Linked DNA regions of Caenorhabditis elegans. The protein of the gene in region 1 interacts with the protein of each later gene in a pairwise test. Each region holds a gene or a part of one and is shown in the gene's direction. Other genes may lie near its edges.

What was found. The genes of interacting proteins can lie anywhere in the genome.
Region 2: the proteins of lelo-1 (region 1) and pfkb-1.1 interact in a two-hybrid assay, tested with the Caenorhabditis elegans proteins (one large-scale study listed by BioGRID).

Annotation. Positions count from the first base shown.
Region 1 is NC_003280.10:6,241,634-6,247,719, forward strand, and holds lelo-1 (GSKIP domain-containing protein), read left to right. Parts: upstream 1-4,723; 5' UTR 4,724-4,732; coding exon 4,733-4,824; intron 4,825-4,870; coding exon 4,871-5,049; intron 5,050-5,099; coding exon 5,100-5,226; intron 5,227-5,270; coding exon 5,271-5,343; 3' UTR 5,344-5,586; downstream 5,587-6,086. Other genes in the region: tat-4 (Phospholipid-transporting ATPase), read right to left, coding at 1-107, 163-342, 896-992, 1,035-1,203, 1,400-1,502, 1,550-2,105, 2,482-2,600; T24H7.8 (Small vasohibin-binding protein), read left to right, coding at 467-679, 749-826; blos-4 (Biogenesis of lysosome-related organelles complex 1 subunit 4), read left to right, coding at 4,121-4,183, 4,232-4,432, 4,479-4,535; T24H7.2 (Hypoxia up-regulated protein 1), read left to right, coding at 5,683-5,743, 5,790-6,086.
Region 2 is NC_003279.8:5,129,663-5,136,189, forward strand, and holds pfkb-1.1 (6-phosphofructo-2-kinase domain-containing protein), read left to right. Parts: upstream 1-1,857; 5' UTR 1,858-1,859; coding exon of another isoform or gene 1,860-1,877; coding exon 1,878-1,935; intron 1,936-2,241; coding exon 2,242-2,367; intron 2,368-2,421; coding exon 2,422-2,524; intron 2,525-2,580; coding exon 2,581-2,647; intron 2,648-2,704; coding exon 2,705-2,848; intron 2,849-2,896; coding exon 2,897-3,157; intron 3,158-3,664; coding exon 3,665-4,258; 3' UTR 4,259-4,443; downstream 4,444-6,527. Other genes in the region: Y110A7A.7 (Fungal lipase-type domain-containing protein), read left to right, coding at 117-326, 384-500, 563-874, 1,037-1,206, 1,256-1,385; Phosphatidylinositol-3,5-bisphosphate 3-phosphatase mtm-1, read left to right, coding at 5,105-5,144, 5,213-5,284, 5,328-5,434, 5,490-5,708, 6,049-6,219, 6,265-6,446.

The DNA of each region.
Region 1 (6,086 bases):
AATATCATCATATTTTCAGTAAGTGTTCCTGTTTTGTCTGAAAGAACATGTGTGACTGTTCCAAGTTCTTCGGGAATACTCAAAGAACGACAATCAATCGCTCTATCCTGAAATTAACAAAAACATTAATTATTTTCAATTTTCAAGTTCAAGTTGGCTTGCCGATTTCTGATCATATAACTGAATATCATTGCTGATAAAGTAGATTTGAAGTGCTTTGATAATTTCTACAGTAATATACAGTGAAATTGGCACAAGAAGTTGATAGTTGATAAAGAATGCACCTATGCCAATGAACCCCTCTATGAACGGTCTCGGTGTGTTTGAGAGAATGAATGGAATCTGTAACAAGTATATGTCTACGTCTCTTTGTCTTACATGTTCTCTGGCAAGAATGGAAACTGCGCTCTGTTGTACAAAGTATTTCATTTCTTTTTCTAATATTTGAACTAACTATTTCTATAAAATGGTTCGCAAGACGAATAAAGAACACAAGGATGTTTCGGTTCAAATTACAAGATTTAAGAACGAAAAAAGTCGTTGTGATCGTTCGGATTTTTTGAAATCTCAAAAAAAGAAACCTTCAATGCCGTTGGATCACTTGAAGGATAAGGAAATGTTGAAGAATCGACGTCTACAGAAGCGAAATGTAAAACGAGAGAATCAAAGAAGGAAAGATGTAAGCTTAATGTTTTTTTGATACAATGCCAAAAATATATCCCATCTACAGTGAATTTCTCTTTTCTAGGTGTCACTTGCTGCTGCCCACCACATCGAAAAATGCATAGATTCTCTACAGAATATGAATGTTGAACCATCCAAATAAGACTTCTAACTCTTGTGTTATGTTTTCGGGTATTTTTAAATAAATTTTGCTTTAACTTCAAAAATAAACCTGTTCATCAACTGGATGTTGTCCAACCCAAACTGCTGAAGTGATAGCGCCATACAATACCATAAGGAGAAGCATTATGAAACAAGCAATTATAAATCTAAAGATATCACAGTTTTATGTTAAAGTTCAACGTGCTCACTTGTTTGTCAGTTTTTCAATTCCAGATGTTTTGTGTGGAGCTCGTCCATTGTTCTGCATCACTTTTGTATCGTGACCTGCATAAACCACAATTCCCTCAACAAACGTTGTGTTTTTGATACGGGAACCCCGAAGAAGCATGTTTTCTTTGATAATGACGTCAGATTGGCCTGAATATTCAGAATTAAAATAATAACAGTCAGAGTTATTATTGGTTTTTTTTTGTCAAAACTGCATTTGGTTGTGGCTAAACGTTTCCGAATAGTTGACATTTATTTAGTAACTAATATATAAAATATGAAACTGAAAAACTTCCCCTGTAGCTAGGCATCACCAAATTATTTTTCCAACTCAAATCGCTCTCACCTGGTTCAAATTCCACTTTCGCTCTAATTGTGTAAATACTTTTATCTGGCTTCTCACATGTCACAACTCCTGTGAAATCTGGTGGCTTGAAGGTAGAGTCTTTCTAAAAATAAACAGCGTATAAATTGAAAATCTAAAAAATTCGCAAACCTTTGAATAATCAATCACTTTTGCAGGAACCATTCTTTGTTTCAATGATGTTTCACCATCTAAGTTACATGTTTCAATATAACATGTTCCACTTTCACTTGATGAACGTAATAAAATGATATCAGCTGGCACATCTTGATTATTTGAAATATGTACAAAATCGCCAACTAATATATATCTCCATTCAGTTTTTCGAAATGCACATCTATCTCGATCCCACACATGACATGTTTTCTTATTAATCTGATTATCAAACTTATATCTTCGATAATCTTCAATTCCGTCTTTGATCAAAGTTGTTCCCAATACAAAACAAATTGGTATTAATCCAACATATCTTGTGTAAGCATCAAAAAATGGTACCCAATTGAGTATTGCAATAAATATAAAATATAGATTTGCGTATTTTGTGGACACTTGATGCCAAATATTGAGTGGAATGAAGTTCCAAAATGTGTATTTAGTTGTTGAAATTCGATTGTCAGTGAAGTCTCGGTAGTTGTTTAGTTCGTAACGAGGTGATTCGAATAGATGATTGGGACGAATCACTCGAGATCTAAAAAACGACAGTTCTTGGATTTTTTTGAAATGTATATTGACTCATTATTTTTTAAATTAGAATTTATCAGCTTGAACGAAATCAGAGCAAGACTTGGTTAAGACTCCCAAATTTTACTTTTTCAAGAAGTTGAATTTTTGTCAATATTTTACCAAAAGACGGAGCAGGTAATTGGAAAGAATTGAATTAAGTTTAGACTAATCTTGAAAGTCTGAAATATACTTCTTCCATTTTTTTAAAGCTTTCAATTTCCGAACCAGCTTCCATTTTTGGTGAAAGCTTGACAACAAGTTAGGCAGCTCCTTGATTTTGAGCGTTTCAAATTTTGTTTTTTTAGCTCAAAAAAAATAAGAAATTAATTCCTATAGCTTACCCAGTTTCTCTGTTACTTCGTCCTCGAAAAATAGAAATAGGATTATGAAGTGGTGCAGATGGAGGAACCCATTTTGAGGATGATCTTCTGTGAAGATGTGTTGGTCGAGGTGTCGTCATATTCTCATTCCTTAATGACTAAATATTTCTTTAGAAATGAAAAAGAACACAAAATGACACTGAAAAAGAGGTGAGTGCGAACTGAGTCACACTTTGCCGCCCTCCCACTATACTACTGATACGGAGACACAAATCGATAACAATGTGGAAAGCACTGCAAAGTTGAAATTAGTTATAGACATGACACGTTACAAAAGTATGTTCTATGGAGAAAAGAGCTGCGCGTATGAACTTTTCAGATGGAACTTTCGTATTTGGGTATTAACAAGTGTGAAATAAAGTGAATCATGAACAAATATTTGTGTTAGTGATGCCAATTCAAAGCAGTATACTTTGGAGATTCACATAGAAAATGGCATGCATATGTATTCTTGAACATTCATTGTTTTGATATTTTTATTTATGAATGGTATCATGACGTATAACAAAAGTACATGTTTTCTATGGAAACAATAATAATTGAAAAGTCTATGTCATGGATATCTATCTTTTGAAAACTGATTCCAAAATAATTCAAGGGATGACCAAAAAAGCGGATTGGTCTCGCCGCGCGGTGTAAAAAGTAATTTTGCTTATGCGCCTTTAAATTCACTGTAGGAAATTTCGATGTTTTTAGATCAATTTTTTCTAATTTGTGCGAGAATATTCGTTATAAATTAGAAGAACACGAAAACGATATAAAAACTTTTTAAAAAAATTAATTTGCCTGATTTTGTACATTTGTCCCATGTGACGGATTGCCCCATGTACTTTTACAGTTCTCTCTTCAATTCCATTTGAACACCCGCCAATTGAAACAATACATCTTTGCGTGATGGTGTTTGCAAAGAGTACAACAAACTTTACGCGCATGTATTGCTTTGTTTTTAAGAGCTTATTTTTTTATTTTTTTTTTGTATGATTTCTGAACTGCTAGCCGTTTCAATTTTCCCTTATGATATTTTTATCGATTGTAAGCGTTAAATTTCCTTCTTTTAAAATTAATCATTAAAATTATTCAAGCGACGGCCATTTTTCAAACACATTATTCGAGTATACTCGAAATAGCTCAACATCTTTTAATAAAAGGCGATTAGATTAGTTTTCCACATATTTAAGTTCTTCGTAACGTTATTATTTTTGTTCGGATAGTACGTCATAGAAATTTCTCTGTTTTTATAGGAAAATTCAAAAACAGTCAAAATTTCGAGCATTAAAACTACATATAACGTTCGCATGAATCGAATAATAAACTTAAACATTCCGCGTAAATTTGTGTTCGCTGGAGCGTGCTTGTTGCTTAGAATTTCTATTGGATTTTGCAAACGGACGTTTTTTCAGTTAAAATAACATTAAAATTAATTCTGCGGGCTGAAATATTTAAATTAATACCCTTCGAAATTTAATCTATATATTTTCAGTACCAATTATACACTTTCCAATTTAATAATACATTTTTCAAACCATTTCAATTCGTTCTCTTTCTTTCTCAGCCTACGTAGATTTATGCATCGTCACATAAAATATCGATTTTCAGGACAATGACCGGAGTTGATGACATATCGTCAAATGTGCATAAGCTGGTGGGAGTCACCGCAGGAATGGTAACGTTTTTTTATTATTCGTTTTCTAAACTAAAATGTTGTATTCAGAATACTGCAGCGTCCACAGGACCAATGAATTTGGTTCTCGATAAGTGTTCCGTTGTGCTCGAAGAATTGAGAACAATTCAAATTCTAACAGAGACACATTCAGAAGGACTCAGCGAACAGCTGAAAATGACAGAAAAGAATATCCTCGAAATGGAAAATTTGTTCGATCAAATTGACCAGCTTTGCTTGTTTGTTCAAAAGGTAAGGTTTAGTAGTTGTTACAATAATAGTTAATTGCAATTTTCAGGCAAAATCCGATCTCGACAAGCTGGAAAAACTTTACAATGTTGTTGACAGACAATAATTAACTCATCCAATTCACTGTGCCATGATTTTATTACGGGTTTTCAATTTCCCAGTCTTACATGTATTATAATGAACTTATTTCAAAAAGTTGAGAATTTATTTATCTATTTGCTGTTTTTAACAGTTTCGAATATATATATATAATTTTATTATTTATTTTAATAAGATTTTAACTTCATAATTAAGAACTCAGTGATGACACAACAATCTGACAAAGATGCCTCTGTGAGCGAGACGACGACTCCACCAACAACTCCTGTTACTGTCAAAAAGCCGGCGCTTTGTGGGTTCGTTGACTATAATTTTTGTTTAAATTTTATTTGAAATTTTCAGAAGTTGTGATTGTGATGTGGAGAAGTCCACCCTTGAGGAAGAAGCAATGGCAGCTGTTCGTGAAAATGCATTTGCAGTCAACTTGATTGGTGTAAGCGAAATGCTTCCACGTACTTCACAACTTCTCTTCATTAATGTAACTACATTCGAGAATCACACTCATTGTATCGAGCTCACTCGTAAGTTCACTCAGATGAGCAATAAATAATTATAAACCGAATATATTCAGAAAAGGGATGGCGAGTTGCATCAAATCGCAATGACTGCATGAATGGTGATTTCCGACAACTCGATATTCATACAAAGTATTTCGAGTCACTCCATACGCTTCTTATGGATATTTCGCCACTTTTCCGGTACCATACATTTTTATTGCAAATTTCTAAAATAATTTTTACAGTGAGACATTCGGATCGAAATTGATCTCCAAGTTGAGTGAACTGAAGAAGGAAAGAAGCGATTCCGATGAATAATTTCTCACTTCAAATCTTCATGTTCTACCATTATTACAATTCGCATTATTTTCCTAGTTACATTGCTCAAATTTGCGTTCAAACACATCTAAGTTTTTTTCTAGAATATTAAGCGGTCTTGTTACGTGGCAACTCGCGTAATCTTGCCAACCACCGTTTTGTCTCATTACACACTTTTATTCCATCCCCGTATACTTTGTTCCGTTGTGAAGTTTTCTGTGTATAAAGTATGTCAAAATTTTCTTTTTTTTTTCAATTAAGCGTATTCAGACGTTTACTCGTTTTTCTTACCTGAAACAAATGCAAATTAGGTATTAATCAAGCCAAATTTCAGTGAACATGCGGTTACATGGGACAGTCTTGCTGGTTATACTCCTCGGTTGCCTTTTCGCAACTTCAGGTAACAAAAAAACGGTATTGGAAATATCATAATTATTATTTTTAAGATGGACAGTTGGCCGCCATGACAATTGACCTCGGGACTCAATTCCTTAAAATTGGAATTGTAAAACCTGGAATTCCAATGGACATTGCTCTGAATACGGAATCGAGAAGGAAGACACCGAATGTTGTTATGATTCAGGATGGCCACCGAACTTTCGCTGATGCAGCTATCGGAATGCAAGTCCGGTATCCTCATCTTGTTCATGGACAACTCAACGATTTAGTCGGCAAATCCACACAACATCCTTCATTTGAGCTATTCAAAAGACGAAATACCTTCTTCGAGGTTGATGATGCTC
Region 2 (6,527 bases), on another chromosome or scaffold:
TTAAATATATCTTTACACTTATCCAATCTAACAACTTTTCACCTCGTAAACAACTCTCAATCCTCCCAATTTTCCTCTCCAGGTCTCAGTGATTTTCGATCGGAATTTCGACCCATATGCGAAACGGGTTCGCTCTTTTTTCATGTCTTTTCTTCTTTCTAGCTGATTGCAAGAAAGTAAATCGAGATTTTGACTATGAATTGAGCAAGAGAACTCTGGAATTCGCAGCGGCTGCGTATTCCATCGATCCGGAACCTTGCATCTCGAAAAACAATGCGACTTTATTGTTTTTCAAAAAGGTGGAGTGCGATTATATGCGTGACGAGGTAAAAGATCATGAGATCTTTAAATATTCAAAAATCATCTGATTTAATTTTTTCCAGTGCTGGAGTGTGATTGCTGCCGACAACGACACAATATTCGTCAGTTTCAGTGGAACAAAATCGAAAGAGCAGCTGGTAACTGAACTTATCGAAAGCATTGGTCGGCCAAAGCACAAAGTAGGCTCATGTTTCAAGTGTTTGTCTGAGTACTCACAGAGCAAAGAAAACTTATTTTACAGTTGCACAATGCTGGATCAGTTCATTATTACTTCTACTCTGCTCTAAAAACAATGTGGTCACCAATGGAAAAACTACTGCGAGGACTGAAAGACTCACTTCCAGATCATAAAATTGTGTTCACAGGACACTCATTGGGCGGAGCTATTGCAAGTATTGCATCGACTGTTTTCGTTAGAAACTTTCCCGAAACGTCGAGTCGAACCTTTTCAATCACATTCGGACAGCCTAGAGTTGGAAATCTCGAATATGCCATGACACATGACAAATTAGTTGCTGGAGGAAGCTGGAGACTGATTCATGGAAGAGATATTGTGAGGGAGACTAATATTTAAGATTTTTTTAATGCTTTATTAGGCTCAAAATGCACCCAAATGAGCGAATTTCGTAATGAAACTTCTCAAACAAGTTCGAAATTTTTTTCTGGCGGTTCAAAATATCCTCTTTCAAAAGACTATTAAAAGTTTTTTTTCTAGGTTGCACATATTCCGTTCTGCGTGGAAAGCTATGCCAGATGGTGTATACCATTCTACAATCATGGATCCTATCACCATGGAGTCGAAGTCTGGTTTCCTGGAAACATGACAAGTCAAGATACGTTCAAAGTTTGCACCGGGACTCCATTGAACGAGGACAATTTGTGCAGGCAAGTGACAGTGATCGAAATCACGTGATAAGAAAATCTTCTCTTACAGCAACACTCATCGCTACTTTGACATCAACGATCACCTGTTCTACTTTGGACACCACGTCTCAGATTACGGTGTTAATGGATGTGTAGACCCACCGGATGATGAACCATTAATAAATAATGAAAATGTTTAAATAAATTTAAAAATGTTGATTGAATTGCGATTCTTTTTCTCGTCGTTTCAACTGTTGAAAAGTCGGTTTGAGAGAATATTCTCGCTTCCGTGTGTCACGTATATTTTCTCAGGACTTTCTTTTTATTGGAGAGAGAGAGGAGGCGCCAAAGAAGATAAGACACCCGCGAACTCGAGTGTAAGAAGAAACAAGGGAGGAGAAGAGAGAAAGAAAGGGATGGTTGAACACAGAAAATGAATTGTTGGTTATTTTTCTTTTCGTTTTCGGTTTCCTACTTTATTGTTATGGAAGATTGTGTCTACTTTCTTCCCATTCATAACACGAACCTTCTTTCTTTCTTTCTCTCTATCATTGCCTGTTTTTCTTTCTCTCCGGCGCAATAATATTATTATTGATTTCTTAATATTTGATTAAAATGATAAGCCTTTGTCTTCGGAATCATTTTGATAAGAGACGATATCATTTCGGCTAGAAATGTTGCAGGAGAACGAGATGCCTGGGCCAGCCGGCGTACCGCAGCGCAAAATGACGTATTTCGTGCCGAAGAGTGGTCAGTTTACTTTAAAAGAGGACTTACCATTTTTTTTTGCTCTTTTAGACTCGAAATGTGCCCAAATGAGCGAAATTTAAAAAGATAGTTTATTTCACATAATTTCAATTAAAATTGATTTCCGTCCGTTTCGACATGGAAAATTTGGCAAAATTGAAGATTTTAGCTAAAATCAAATAGCCCATTTTTTTTCGAAATTTTGAGCCGTTTTGGACGCATTTTGAGTTGAAAAAGTGCATAAAATTGATCGATTAGCCCTATTTTATTTTCATTCCACATTGTCTTCTCAAAAATCTCAATTTTCAGACAACTCAAACGAGCAGGTTCGAGTTCCAAACGTCATCGCACTTGTCGGACTGCCGGCACGTGGCAAAACATACATCTCACACAAACTGTGTCGTTACCTCAACTGGATTGGAATTAAGACCAAAGGTTGGTCCTGATTCGATTATATGTACGACATGAAACAAAAAATCAAAATTACAGCATTCAATGTCGGCGAGTACAGAAGAAGAGCGTGTAATTTGGAAGAAGAAGGCGAAAATGAGTTCTTCTCGCCAAACAACGCCAGAGGTCAAAAGATCCGAGAGTGAGATTTTACGAAACTATGAAGAAAAAAAATTAAAAAAATTCCTGAATTTTCAGTGAGTGCGCGAAATTAGCCATTGAAGATATGGGAAGGTACTTGGATAACAAGGAAGGAGAAGTGGCGGTGAGTTACAAAGGAAAAAATTTCAAAAAAATATATAGACATAAACTTTTTATTCAGATTCTCGACGCGACAAATACTACAAGAGACCGACGAAAGCTTCTGATGGAGTTTTGCAGAAATATGATGCACGAGCCACCATTCCGTGTCTTCTTTGTGGAATCTGTTTGTGATGATCCTGATATTATCAACTCGAATATCACGGTAACCTTTAGATCTTCAAAATAATCACCTTAACCCGCATATTTTCAGGAAGTGAAAATCAATTCGCCAGATTATAAAGGAATAATGTCTCAAGAGGAAGCAAAAGAAGACTTTTTGAAGCGTATCGAGAACTATCGAATGCAATATGAGCCACTTGATGAGGATCATGATGAAGAGCTGAGCTATATCAAAGTTATCAATGCCGGAAAATCCTTCTATGTTCACAATGTTAATGGTCATGTGCAGAGTCGTGTTGTGTATTTCCTGATGAATATTCATCTTCTTCCAAGAAGTATTTATTTGTCAAGAGTAAGTTTAACAAAAAAACCGAAAAAATTTTGCGCTAAAAATAGGTAACAGGTCTCGACGCGAAAATTTTTATTAAATGCCAAAAAGTGTGCGTCTTTACAAACTACTGTAGTTTCATTTTTTTTGCTGCCGAGTTTTCATTGAGTTTCAGTTTTCTCACGATTTGCTGTAAAAACGTTTTTATTTTTTATTTCACTTTTTGATAAATTAATATTTTTTTACCAAACAAGCTAAGAGAGCCCGTAAAAAAACTTGAATTTTAACAAATCGTGAAAAAAAAAGAAAATCAATGAAAATTCCGCAGCAACGAGAGTTTGAAATTACAGTATTCTTTAAAGGTGATGCCTTTTTTCATTTAACAAAAATGTCGTGTCAAGACCGGACACCGGTTTTTTTGGCACAAAATTCCGTTTCTGGGATATAATTCATTCAATTAACAGCACTGAGAATTATCAAGTATTTTTAAACTTTTATAGTTTAAAAATCCCTTTAAAAAATTTATTACAGCATGGAGAAAGTGAGTACAACAGAATTGGTCGTCTTGGTGGTGATTCCCCACTCAGTGAAAATGGTTTAAATTACGCTGGAAAACTTCGCGAATACTTCGAAAAAGAAGATTTGGACGATTTCCGTGTTTGGTCATCTCAAAAGATTCGTGCCGCCCAGACAGCTTCTCATCTGAAAGATCTCGCTGGTCATACAGAGTTCTGGAAATGTCTTGATGAAATCGATGCCGGAATATGTGAAGGATTAACTTATGAAGATTTCGAGGCTCGTTATCCGAAACAATTCGCTGAAAGAGATAAGGATAAATATCACTACCGTTATCCAAGTGGGGAATCATATGAAGATCTGGTTGCTCGTCTGGAGCCAGTTATCATGGAGCTTGAGAGACAATCCAATGTCCTTGTCATTTCTCATCAAGCAGTTCTCCGTTGCATTCTTGCCTATTTTACTAACAAAAATCGAGATGATCTTCCATATCTGAAGGTTCCATTGCATACAGTCATCAAGCTCACACCAAAAGCCTATTCCTGTGAGATTGAACTTTTCAAATTCGACATCGAAGCAGTCAATACTTACAGAGAGAAGCCACAATAGGAAGTATTTATTCTTTATCTAGCCAATTATCTATGCCAAATGTACATTTATTTTTTCATACAAGTTCCCATTTTTATGTCGGGCGTTTTTTTTGAGATTGCATTTTCCCTGTTTTTGAACAATTGCCTTTGAATTTAAATACGTTGTCGTTTATGTGAGAGTTATAAAGATTACATCGATTTCAATTTTATGGACTGATTGCAATATTTCTCGCTGTGTCATTTTCTACAATAATCTATTTTTAATGTATTAAACGGTCAGGAGCCACATTAAAAATTTAAAAGAAAACCAAACAAGAACGCGTAACTGAGTTGTTGTTATTTTAAAAGAAAAATCAATTCATATAAAAATTAATCCTTAAAGGCGCAGAGATTTATTCAGATGGGTCCCGACGCGCAAAAAAGTTTATGGTAATTGTGTTTGAATTTTTGCGGCTGCTTCCTCGTTTATTTTTCTTGCATTTTTCAATTTATTAAGGGAATTTTGTCGTTGTTTAAAACCATTGTATGAAAAAAACACAGGAAATCCCACATTTTTAATGGAAGTAGTTTATTTGTACTTTGAAAACTGATTTTAAACATATTCTGACAGAAAAGTGAAAAGAAAACGACATCTGAATAAATCCATGCGGTTTTAAAAAGGATTGCCAAAATATTGTGAAGTTACGATAAAAACAAAGCTGAAGCAAGTTGTATTTATTTTCTGCACATACCTGCGTCTCTTAGTGGCCTTCTTCTCTCTCTCTCTCTCTCTTTCCCAATAATCGTTCCACTATTCGGCTTTCAAACATTCTCATACACTTTCAAAAATCAATTTACAGGAAAATTGATCGAAATGTCAATATCAATGGATGACAGAGGGAACAATAGTGGAGAAGTTGGAGAATGTGAGTCATCACGAACTATTTCGTTATGAAATTTCGTTATTTGAATTCAATTTATTTTATCATTTCAGTTGCCAGTTCATCAATGATACAAGAATCAATAGATCTCAAATTGTTAGCCGCAGAAAGTCTTATTTGGACAGGTTGGAATTGATTTTTTAACAATTATAATGTGAGGAATTACAGAGAAAAATGTGACATACTTCGGACCACTTGGAAAATTTCCAGGTAAAATCGTAATTACTAGGTATCGAATGGTTTTTCTCGTTGGTGATGGTGGAAAAATGTATGAGGTTTGTGATTAAAATTTTAAAATTATATTTTACAAATATAAACAAAAAATTTCAGCAATGGAAGCTCGATATTCCACTCGGACAAGTGTCTCGGATAGAAAAAGTTGGTAGAAAGACGACGAGTGTTGCCAAACGAGGCGATGATAATTATGGATTCACAATTTATTGTAAAGATTATCGAGTTTATCGATTTACATGTAATCCAGCATCGAGTGATAGAAAAAATGTTTGCGATTCGTTGAATAGATACGCTTTTCCGCTATCGCATAATTTGGTGAGTTTTTTTTTTAATTTTAATAGGGGGCTTTTGGCTCTAGAACTATTGGAAATGAAAAAAAATTCTGATATTTTTTTTTAATTTACGAAAAAATAAAATTAATTATTCATTTATTGGTTAGCAAAAAAATTAAAGTTAAAAAAACACGGTATCGTAATTTCACAAGTTTTCGCCTTAGAAAGCCGCACGGATTTCTTCAAATGGGTCTCGGCACGCAAAAAGTTTATTGTGTAGATTTTAAACAATCAATGATTTATTAAAAACTTACTTGACAACCAAGAAATAGACAGCCTAACTTGAAAAACAACATTATTCAACCAAAAAAGGAAATTTTCAGCCAATGTTCGCCTCTGTACATGCAGCAGAAACACCTAGACTTATGAAAGATGGTTGGAAAATTTATTCAGCTGAAAAAGAATATGAACGCCTTGGAATCCCGAATTCACGTCTTTGGAAAGAAGTGGACATTAATAAAGACTATAAATTTAGCGAAACTTATCCAAGAACTGTAGGTTAATGATGGTTTTCTTTTTTAAAAATAATTTTATTTCAGTTTGTAATTCCGACAGTATCTTGGGAGGAAGGAAAACCATTTGTAAAGAAGCTCGGCGAGTTTAGAAGCAAAGAAAGAATTCCCGTGTTGAGTTGGATTAATCAGACAACTTTAGCTTCAATTTCACGATGCTCACAGCCAATGACTGGAATTTCTGGAAAAAGAAGTGCTGAGGACGAGCGGTAGGTTTTATTTTTATTTTTAATGATAATAAAAAATAATCGGAATATTAATATTCTAATATGCTGAAATGTCACAAAAGA